Linked DNA regions of Arabidopsis thaliana. The protein of the gene in region 2 interacts with the protein of the main gene of each other region in a pairwise test. Each region holds a gene or a part of one and is shown on either strand. Other genes may lie near its edges. The genes, in order: AT3G05640 and ATCSLC08.

Evidence for each region.
Region 1: the proteins of ATCSLC08 (region 2) and AT3G05640 interact in a protein complementation assay, tested with the Arabidopsis thaliana proteins (one large-scale study listed by BioGRID).

Annotation. Positions count from the first base shown.
Region 1 is NC_003074.8:1,639,589-1,645,058, reverse strand, and holds AT3G05640 (Protein phosphatase 2C family protein), read left to right. Parts: upstream 1-1,805; 5' UTR 1,806-2,210; intron 2,211-2,793; 5' UTR 2,794-2,831; coding exon 2,832-3,080; intron 3,081-3,353; coding exon 3,354-3,647; intron 3,648-3,740; coding exon 3,741-3,858; intron 3,859-3,957; coding exon 3,958-4,181; intron 4,182-4,257; coding exon 4,258-4,449; 3' UTR 4,450-4,709; downstream 4,710-5,470. Other genes in the region: PLDP2 (phospholipase D P2), read right to left, coding at 4,954-5,188, 5,319-5,446.
Region 2 is NC_003071.7:10,470,443-10,476,171, forward strand, and holds ATCSLC08 (Glycosyl transferase family 2 protein), read right to left. Parts: upstream 4,169-5,729; 5' UTR 3,956-4,168; exon of another isoform or gene 3,823-3,955; 5' UTR 3,543-3,822; coding exon 2,823-3,542; intron 2,727-2,822; coding exon 2,418-2,726; intron 2,313-2,417; coding exon 2,022-2,312; intron 1,943-2,021; coding exon 1,829-1,942; intron 1,755-1,828; coding exon 1,116-1,754; 3' UTR 754-1,115; downstream 1-753. Other genes in the region: UBP19 (ubiquitin-specific protease 19), read right to left, coding at 5,171-5,729.

The DNA.
Region 1 (5,470 bases), on a different chromosome or scaffold from region 2:
TTGATTTTCGTTTATATTTCTGGCTTTCGTCCTAATGAATATACACTAGATCTCACTTGTTTTTCTTCATGTACGTAATCATTTTTGGGGGTGGCACGACTAATCATTGCTTGAGTTGATCTTGATCCAAATCTTAGGAAGATAATGCGCAATTAATTGAATTTTCAACCAAAAAATGGACAAAAAGACTATCGCCTTGTAATGATTGCAATTATGATGCTTCTAGTCTTCTAGATACTGTATCAAGTATCAACTGGATAATAAACTATTTATCATTTTCTTACAACTAACAACCAATTAAAAGCCACTCAACATACTAACATTTCCATAGTCCACTCCAATGATTATTGATTATTATGATTAAGATCAGATGATGTTCTCTATGGATTAAAAAAAAAAAACTAGCAATAAAATAACAAGAAAAATGGTCATGTTGGGACTGGGTGGGAGTGGAACGAGAGGCCACGGCACACAAAGTCACAAAGAAAGTGTCATTATCCGGTGCACCGTCCCACATGCGATTGCTGGTAACCACGCGTCAATCAGACGAATGGCATGATCCTTTTTTAGATTGTGCTCGCTAACATGGACCCTACAAGGACCGAACTAATCAATGTGGTTCTCACGTGCCTCTTTTGCCAATTTTAACTTTTCTAACGAAAAAAATATTACTCTGAAACCTCCACATTCAATTGTGATATGACCGGCGTCTGGCCCTCAAACCGAAAGGCTCTCCTCTGAATCCTTTGTTGCTCTGTCCCACGTGCCAGAAATATCATCTTAAATATGGTGGTCTTTCGCAACCCTGAATGGCATTTGTGGTAATTAGTTCTAAATTACGTGAGACAATGCAAAGATTTTGTTTTGCACCATCGTTGCCGACCACATCAAACAGGTCATCGCTCTGGGTCCACTCACCGCTAGTCCGCTATACACTTGTGGGAAAAGGCTTCTTGTAGTACAGTTTCGTCACGGCGTCTTATTAATTGCAAATCTGTGACGTTACGGTTTTCGATTCGGGTTACTATTTTAATGGAAATCTTTTGATAATAGCTAGAGCCTAGAGTATGTAACCCTAAGGTTAGATGGTAATACCGAATCTACCTAAATTTTTGTTATTTTCGGTTTTTCATGAGATATATAGACTGCGTAATTTAAAATCTCAAAATTTGGTTTCACTTTATTTTTATTTTTTTTTAGTTTCGAGGTAGGTATACAAGCATGGACCTTTTGACATTATTTAAAATTTTCATAATTTAGAATCTTCATGTTAAACGTGTATGGCTACGATCTTCGGAACTTTATTCGGTTTGTATGCTCAAAGGCCAACGCCATTTATTTTCTAATTGATTTTTTCCCGTTACGGAAACAATCTTTTTGCATTATTGAACTTAATTACCAAAGTTTATGAAAAGAAACAATAAAGTCTAAATTGGCCTATTTTGATATACTGATCACTTACGCGAAAACATCTACATTGTTATCTACTAGACTAGTCATTAACTCGAAGATAGAATTTCATTTCTTGACCAAAAAAAAACTCAAAAGATAGTTATAATCACAGATTCATTATTGACTTTTGCTTTTAACACTGTAGCCATTTATGTACTATTTATACAAATACCTAACTTTTCAAATTTGTGATATTTTTCACCCTACATTTTAGCCTATAGGTTGGATCATTTTGTCATATTGCATCACTGTTTACTAGTACCAAACTTAAATATCACACGAGCAGTAAATTTGCTATCAATTTTTTCGTTTTCACAAACATATATCTAGTTTCCCTAACCAATAATTAAGTTAAATTGCATTAGGAATTTAGGATTTATAATAAATAGATATATAACCCACTAACGACAAAAGACTATGTCTTGCTACGTCTCTGCCTTTATTATCATGCCACAAGAAAATAAGAGGGGAACAGAGGGAGAACCCCATAAATAAATAAATTTAGAGAAATATCTAAGTTTGGTTCTTCCCTGTGTCTACCCACCGTGATCATCATAAAATGGATTGTGATTTCTGATTTGTGAGTCTATCTTTCTCTACTCCATTAGCTTCCTCTCCCTTGGATGGTTACGTCACTTTCTCCGAGCTTACGTCATCTATATCCGGTCTTCACTTCTTTTTCCTTCCATTCCTCAGCAGCATTGCGTAATCTATCTGGTGTGTGTGTATCACGTCACTTCCTCCTAGTCCCTCTCTCTGTACGTTCTTGTTGTGAAATTGATTTACTTTTTGAAAACATTTTTGGTGCAATTCAACAATATTTGTTTCACAGTTCTTATTTTATTTTTGTAGATTAAAAAGCTTAAATTTCAAAAACAAGAAAATCTTGTTTTCACAAAAATTAGGCAAAGGGTTTCCAATTTCCAGATTGTTTAACTTGATTTTCAATTTCCAATTTCCGAATCTTGCAACTTGATTTCTATAATGATAAGTTATCTCCAAATATGTTTTCTTAAAAGAGAAAACTCGATTTGACTTCAAGTTGAGATCATATCCATTATTATTCTCTATATTACGTACAAGTTATTATATATTTTATAACTCTAGAGGAATGTTAGAGCTTGTGTTAATGGAATTCCAAGTCAGATATGAATATTCTCTTATAATCATTATTGTCCTTATAACTGTTTTAAATACCTCAAATTTATATTTTATCCCCTGTTTTTTTCCCGGGAAAACGAATCTCAAAAAACGAATTTCCTACTTTGACATTATTTTATCTCCCTCTTGCTCTTTGATATAATGCAACTATCTGAAACTCTATGAATTTATCATTTACAGAGTTCAAGATCATATGATATTTTCACTTTCTGGACAAAATGGGACATTTCTCTTCCATGTTCAACGGTATAGCTAGATCCTTCTCGATCAAGAAAGCGAAGAACATCAACAGCAGCAAAAGCTACGCTAAGGAAGCCACAGATGAAATGGCGAGAGAGGCGAAGAAGAAGGAACTTATTTTGAGATCCTCTGGTTGCATTAATGCAGATGGATCTAATAACTTGGCTTCTGTTTTCTCTAGACGCGGTGAGAAAGGCGTTAATCAGGACTGTGCCATCGTCTGGGAGGTACATTACTTCTACAAAAAGTTATCTTAGAGCTGGGTTATTTGGAACTTTTGCAGTCTTTGGCGTTTACTTAGCACAATTCGCTTCGTGTGCGTGTGCCTCTAGCTTGTTTTGGATGCTCCTCTGTATCTAGGGTTATTATCACCAGTCCAAAGATCTTAAGTTTAACGCATTATATGCTTCTACCGTTGATTTTAAGTTATCCGATATTACGGTCTTTAAACACTGATTTGCGAATATTTGTTCATCATGTTTTGACAATTTCTGAAACAGGGATATGGGTGTCAAGAAGACATGATATTCTGTGGGATATTCGATGGACATGGTCCCTGGGGACACTTTGTTTCTAAACAAGTCAGAAACTCAATGCCTATATCTTTGCTCTGTAACTGGAAAGAGACTCTTTCTCAGACCACAATAGCAGAACCCGATAAAGAGCTACAGCGGTTTGCAATCTGGAAATACTCATTCCTCAAAACCTGTGAAGCTGTTGATCTGGAGCTTGAGCATCACCGAAAGATAGATTCTTTCAACAGCGGTACGACCGCTCTAACCATTGTGAGACAGGTAAATGGAGCATCAGATTCATTACCTCATATGAAGAAAATCTTGTAAAAAGGCTACTCTGTTCATTAATCCTTAAGTGGTTTCTTGCTACAGGGTGATGTTATTTATATAGCAAACGTCGGGGATTCACGTGCGGTATTGGCCACAGTTTCAGACGAAGGAAGCTTGGTCGCGGTTCAGCTCACCGTAGATTTCAAGCCAAACCTGCCTCGTTAGTTCCATAAGCATAAATAAATCATGTAAATCTCAGTGCATTTAGCTAAGCAGTTCTGAATCTTTATCTTTCAAATTTTGTTTCTTATTAAAACAGAGGAGGAAGAGCGGATAATCGGATGCAACGGGAGAGTATTTTGCCTTCAAGATGAGCCAGGGGTCCACCGTGTATGGCAACCAGTAGATGAATCTCCGGGGCTCGCAATGTCAAGAGCATTCGGAGACTATTGTATCAAAGATTACGGATTGGTCTCAGTGCCTGAAGTCACTCAGAGGCATATATCCATTAGAGACCAGTTTATAATCTTGGCCACTGATGGGGTAAGAACATTTGAATAAGCAACTTTGTTTTGTTAGTTTATATTGGCAGCGTAGTCATGTAATTGAAACATTATAGGTATGGGATGTGATATCAAACCAAGAGGCCATAGATATTGTTTCCTCGACGGCGGAGCGGGCAAAAGCTGCCAAGCGACTGGTACAGCAAGCAGTTAGGGCTTGGAATAGAAAGAGACGCGGAATCGCCATGGATGATATCTCTGCCGTGTGCCTCTTCTTCCATTCTTCATCGTCGTCGCCATCTCTATAGCAACATCTTCTCCATGCCACGACCTGCAAGTAGGTACTAGTACTTTTGGACCGGGCAAGAAAAGAAAAAATGCTGCAATGTAGATAGACTTGCGTAAAATCGCATTGAATATTACTTTCTTGCCAAACCAGAGTCCTATCACAATCTAAAGAACACAATTGGTTACTTGTAATTTTAATAATCATTTAAAAAGTGGGAAACTTCTTAAGTTATTATGAAACATGTGATGAGGAAACAAGCTTTTGGAACAAGAATCAAACATATATCAACTCCAAAGTTGTAAGAACATATCCGCAATTGAAGATGTATTGTACAGCTTGAGGCACATAAACATTATGATTTACAAGAAGTGTATACTATACACACACATACCTCTGCGAACCTAGGAAGCAATCAAATGAATTTCTTCTTTCTATATAACTAACATCTCTATACATAAGTAACGTGTGAGCTTAGGTACTCTATTAACTGATTAAAGAGAACTGGGCGTACAATAAATAGTGGTTAGTGGAAGACTTGAGGAGCAGTGTAGAACTCAGATTCGTTGAAACCTGGTCTGAGATCTTCTTGATCACACATGAACTGTAATGGGAAGCACACAAGGTTCCCTCTTGTCTCCTTCAGAATCTCCCACGAGTCGCTGCCGCATGATTCTAGCCTCTCCGGTGCAATGCCAAGGTCGATCGTAGTGTGACCCAACTTGTCTTTACAAAGAGCCATATTGTGTCTCAATGCAGCTCTGTGTTTAGAAAGACAAAGTCAGAAGCAGATTTGATCATCTCTCAGTTGCGTTTAAAAAGCCAACGTAGTTACGTATCTTTAATCACTAAAGTTATGGAGATTTAGTTAAAAAGGGATGACGTATGAACCTTGAGCGTATATGTTCATTCGGGATGCACGAGAAGACTTGGTTGTAGATGTCCGTGTTTTTCTTAGCTGTTGCCATCCATAAGTCTTTGTATGTTGCATCTTTGATTGGATCTTCGATCTTCTGAATCTAAACACAAAAAACAAAATCAAC
Region 2 (5,729 bases):
ATTCACTTTTCCTGCTTCCCCGGCTCATACAATAGTTTTTATCATTAGATCTATCATTAAAATTGAAAATTTGGTCTATACTATAAAAGAATCAAAATAGAATTTTTGATTTTATTTATTTATCAGTGATTCAAAATAATTATGAAAATAAACAAATAGCAATGAATAAAAGATAAACTAACTTTAAACAAAAGACAAACATACAACAACGTATTGTAATTTAGAGAAAAAGTGAAATAAATATTAGTTACACGAAATCCAAAAATAAAAAATCAATACTAAAATATTAACTACCTAAGAGAGATATCCAACAAGGTGACATAAAATGTAGGAGTAACATGTGATTGTTATGCTGGTGAAGATGGTGATTGTTGATGGTTATAGAGGTGGTGATAGAAAAAAATATTATTATGGAAACATATCTTATTATATAATTAATAGGATATATTTTTCGTTTATCATGAATAGTTATCAATCAAAGATTTTATCATATGTCATGATTTAAAGGAATTTTATCATCTTTATATTTTTAATGTGCCTAATTTAATACCATTTTGGTTTGATTTACCAACTTTATTATGAATATTTTATAATTTTAGTTTTTGTATAAGTATACCAAAAGTTATTGCTATGTGATGTATTTTCATTCAAATAATTTGAGTTATTGTTATATTATATATTTTTCATTCAAATATTTTTTTAATCAATAATTATAGTGGTGAAGTAAACAATACAACAATAAAAATAAATATATTTGTTTTTAGTTTTGAAAGATAATTTATACTTACAACATTGTTTTCTTTTTTTTTGCAAAAATACTTACAACATTGTTAATTATTATTTTTGCTAAATTTGATTTTAGTTATAAGAAAATAAACCCCTCCATCGGACGGGTCCTTATCTAGTATATAGTTATAAAGTGTGGCTTAAACTCTAACCTACCAATGAATAATCACAATGGAGAGAAGATACCAATCAAAACTAAAATCAATAAATGCCTACAAACTATGGCTACAACAAACGGTAATAGGTGATGTCAACTCACAGAGCTAACTGAATCTTGAATCATCATTATCTTCTTCTCCTTCTTCTTCTTCTTCTTCTACTTTGGTTTCTTAACTCATCTGCTCCCCTATGAGATCGAGACCCACAAGAAGAAAGGTGAGACCTTGGAACAATAGGAAGTAGAAATGTACTCCTTGTGAGGCCAAAAGACTCCTAACTGCTGCAGTGAGCAAAAGAAAAGCTAGCGCGAGCTCTTTGTGGAATATCTTATTGGTTTTCTTCACGGAAACCGGTTGTTTTTTCTGTTCCTCAACTTGGCTTATCTCCAAGAGCTCACTGTCTGAAACTCCTCTTAGGATTTGGTTTGGCATCTTCTCGGATTCTTTATCAGTGAGAGCTAAAAGATCAGACTCTGATGATCTTCCTGCTTTCTTTGTTACAATCCATTCGTAAGAGCTACCGAGTTGGAATAATCCAGATACCATCGCGTTGAACTTGGTGACCGACATAGTGTTCTCAAACAATAGGTAAGGGACAATGAAAGGGAAAGACTTTGGAGCAGGAAGAATGTTGAGTAGTGACATGAATATCGGTACATAGCAGATGACCCAAATAGGAAGCTCGGCTTCTGGAACGAACATGGTGATTGGAAGGATTACACAGAACAATGTGAAGGAGTAGAAAGGAAGTATGAGTTTCCTTAGAAGGAAGAATAGTAGTATCAGATTTGCTTTCTTCCACATTGCAATCTACGGGAAAACCAAAAGAGCCATTAAAATCATTGGAATGATCAAATGATTGCAAAACCATAGCTCTTATATACCTTAGAGGTCAAGATTGATCGCAGACACAAGCGAAATAGCTGCATTGGTCCCGAGTGCCATCGATGTTGCTGCTTCTTGTATGCTTCATATGACTCAGGAACTTCACAAAGAACCTAAAGATTGTTTCTACTTCAGTCAAATTTACTAAGGGCTCTTCATGAAACTGGACAAGAACACGCGATATAATCGTACCTTGACATCGTTAAGATATATGAATTTCCATCCATGAAGATGAGCCCGAACAGCTATATCCATATCCTCGACGGTTGTCCTTTCAAGCCAACCTCCAGATTCCTCAAGGGCTTTAATTCTCCATACTCCAGCAGTTCCATTGAAACCAAAGAAATTCAAGAACACCCCATTAACCTGCTGCTCAACCTCGAAATGAAAACACAGATTGATGTTTTGAAGACGGGTCAACAAGTTCTCGTCTTTGTTCACAAACGCCCACCTAGCCTGAACCAGACCTAACTCAGGCTTCTCCTGAAATAACATTGGCATTTACAAGTTAGATGCTTCACCAAAAATGGTTGTCTCATACTCTCATGACACAACCAAACAGAATTACTAATCCACCTATCTACATACCTTGAAATGTGGCACGGTTAGTTTAAGGAAATCCGAGTTAGGTTGGAAATCCGCATCGAAAATTGCAACAAACTCGTAAGCTTCCACATAATCACAGCTCATTGCAGATTTGAGGTTACCAGCTTTGTAACCAGTTCTAACCAAACGATGCCGGTAAATAATGTTGACACCCTTTTGGCTCCATTTAGTAACCTCATCTCTAATTAACTCCTGGATGCTTTCATCATCTGAATCGTCTAGAACCTGAACTAGCAGTCGATCTTTTGGCCAGTCAAGCTGACACACAGCAGATATAGATTGCTCATATACCTAAACAAGGATTAGACATTTATGTAACTTCATTAATCTAATTCAACAATGAAGCACATAACCATGTAAAAGGATTGATACTTTGTTTAACCATACCTCTCTCTCATTGCACATTGGTATCTGAACAAGAACCATTGGATACTCAGACCCTGATCCTTCAAAATCATCATTTCGAAAATGCTCTTCATCGATTCTCGGCTTAATCTTCTTAAACTTGATCCAAAGACAGCCTAAGCAAAGAATCAAACGATCTACAGACTGTACAAGGAACAGTACAATACAAAACTTTGAGAGAGCTTTGATTGGAGGAGCAATATAATCAGCTCTTAAACTCAACCAACCGACATAGAACAGATGAAGCAAGCTCTGGATCTCAAGTTTGCTTGTAGGAATGTGTAAATTAGGGTTTTTAAAGTAATGCCATCCTCTGTAATAAGCAACTAACTCAAACGCAAGAATAGCTAATGAAGCAACTAAGAAGAGCTTAATAGCTGAGAAAAGCCATCCGTCTCTACCAAGTCTCTCAGAGCCTAGTGGATGAGTGAAACTGAGCCGTCTCTTGACTGAACCAAGAAGAGACCAGAACACTGTAGCGACCCAAGTGAGACATCCAACAGCTTTGTGAGCTTTAAGAAGCAAAACCCAAGTCACTTGCTTAGCGTTCTTGCCTCTACTCTTCTCCATTGGTTGAAATGCAGAGTCTGGTTCCTCTACTTCAACTATTGAGTAATTTGGATTCTCCATTTTCACCACTACTGGTGTACCTCTCCTTGTTTCCTTGGCCCATAAATCTGAAAAATCAAACCTTGGAGCCATATTTCAAAGCTCAAGACCCAAATCTGGAAGAAGAAGTAGTTGAATCTCTTGATTAGAGTTTAAGACCCAAATCTCAAAGTTGGAAGATTTAAGCTAAACCCATCTTGAGAAACCTAAAGGTAGCGACTTTGAGTGAGTAAATCTTCAGACTTCAGGTTAAAGACCAAGACTTTGTAAGAAATTTGAACAACCCAGATCCAAGAACTAGGATATCTAAAGACCCACTTTTAAACAACAGACAGAGAAGCAGCAACAGCTCAAAGGGGTCATTAATAGTGACCTGCGAGAGAGAGTACAGACAATGAGTGGTTTGGGCAAGTGAGAGAGAGAAAAGATTGATACTTGGCAATGGTAGAGATAAAAGAGAGAGAGAAGAGGAAGAAAAGAATCAAAGAAGTTGTAAGATCCCTTACACTTTCATGTGAATGTTTCCTCTTCAGCTAACCCTCAATGATGGCTTCAACATCCAAATTCATCTCTTTTTTCCAAAAAGAAAGCTTAACATTTCATGAATCTTTCTCATAGAGTAGCTTTTTTGAAAAACAACTTTTAGAGAAAGGCTAGTAAAGAGGAAAAGAAATCAATGGATAGAAAAATTCAAAATGGTAGTGACTAGCTGATTATAATGGGCTAGTAATCTAAAAAGGGTACAAGCTTTAAAAGCAATTTTACTTGAACTTATAAGAAGATTTTGCAATTATGGAAAAAAAAAATCTAGTTATAGGCAATTGCATTTAATCTCTGTTTACATTTTATGTAGCTGATAAACACACATATTCACAAACTTAACTCTTCATCAAATGGGCAAAAGGCCCCAAATCACATAAAGAGATAACAAACAAATATGTGTATTATCGACCATGATCATTCTACTTGGAAAACATATTTTTTTCGTCATTCAGATTGATGATTGAAAGATTTAGTTAAGAGACGATATAACCTTACCGTTTCGCTCATTATGCATGTTTTGCCGCGTTTATTTTGTTTCTACTATTCAAAGTCTTAATAGTTATAAGATTGAATTAGTATTGGTATTACCAAGTTATCATCGACAATGATAGTTCTATTTGGAAAATATGCTTTTGTGATTGAAAGTGATTAAAAATGACTTCAAAGTTGAGGTTACCGTAAAAGTTTAAATTCTCTTTCAACATTTTTTTCATTTGTTCTTAACTTGTTCGGCTCGTTATGCACATTTTCCCACATTAAGTACTATATAAAACTAGCCGAACAAACAAACAAAATAACTTGAATCAACCACAAAGTTGACAATGTGGTCCTCCATTAGTCTTTCAAGCTATGAGAGCTTTTGGGTTCAATTGTATTTTAACAGAGAAATAAAAATCAAAAGAATAACTTAACCGATCCTGAAGTTTCTATCTCATATGACTAATAAAGTACCAATCCTGGCTTTGTAAGCTCTATAGTTCTCACCAGTACGAACCCTAAAAATTTCTTCTAGATATGGAAAACTCCAGGATCCAACAAATTCTATATATCCTTCAGACACCAGAAATTGCAGTGTCTAAAGCAATTTTTTTGCAGCATTATTGTTAAGTTAGAAGCGCCCTTGTTGATTTTCAAGAGCCATGAAAAATGTTTGTGATTCCACCACCATCCCTTTAGAATCATTGAGCATCGATCATCTCGGTGTCTGAATGTTCTTTCTCCAGGGGTTTGGACTCGCTGTCTAAATGTTCTTTCTCCAGCGGTTTGTTGGACTCGGTGTCTGAATGTTCTTTCTCCAGAGGTTTGGACTCGGTGTCTGAACGTTCGTTCTCCTGAGGTATGAACTCTGTAGCAGCAGATGGAGATGGAGTAGTAATGTCCAAACAAGAAGAATCAACAGCCAGATTTTCAACCGTTGGATCTTCTTTCCCATTTGCTTCTTCTTCTTGATGATCTGTTCCAGAATCATGTTCCATGTCAATAGAACGGTTTGATTCAGAATCTACTGTATCAACCTTTACGTCAACTTCCTTTCCTTCTTCAGAGACTGGTACGGATGCTGACAATGATGATTCTTTTTCGTATTCAGGGTCTTCTGAATGTGAGATGATGCCGTTACACAGCGAGGACACACTTGTGTCATTTGTTCCCACCCCGGAACTCTCAACAGAGCCATCTTGGTTAGATTCTGTGTTCAATGTATCTGTTTTCTTCTCATCTTGACTTTCTTCGGATCTA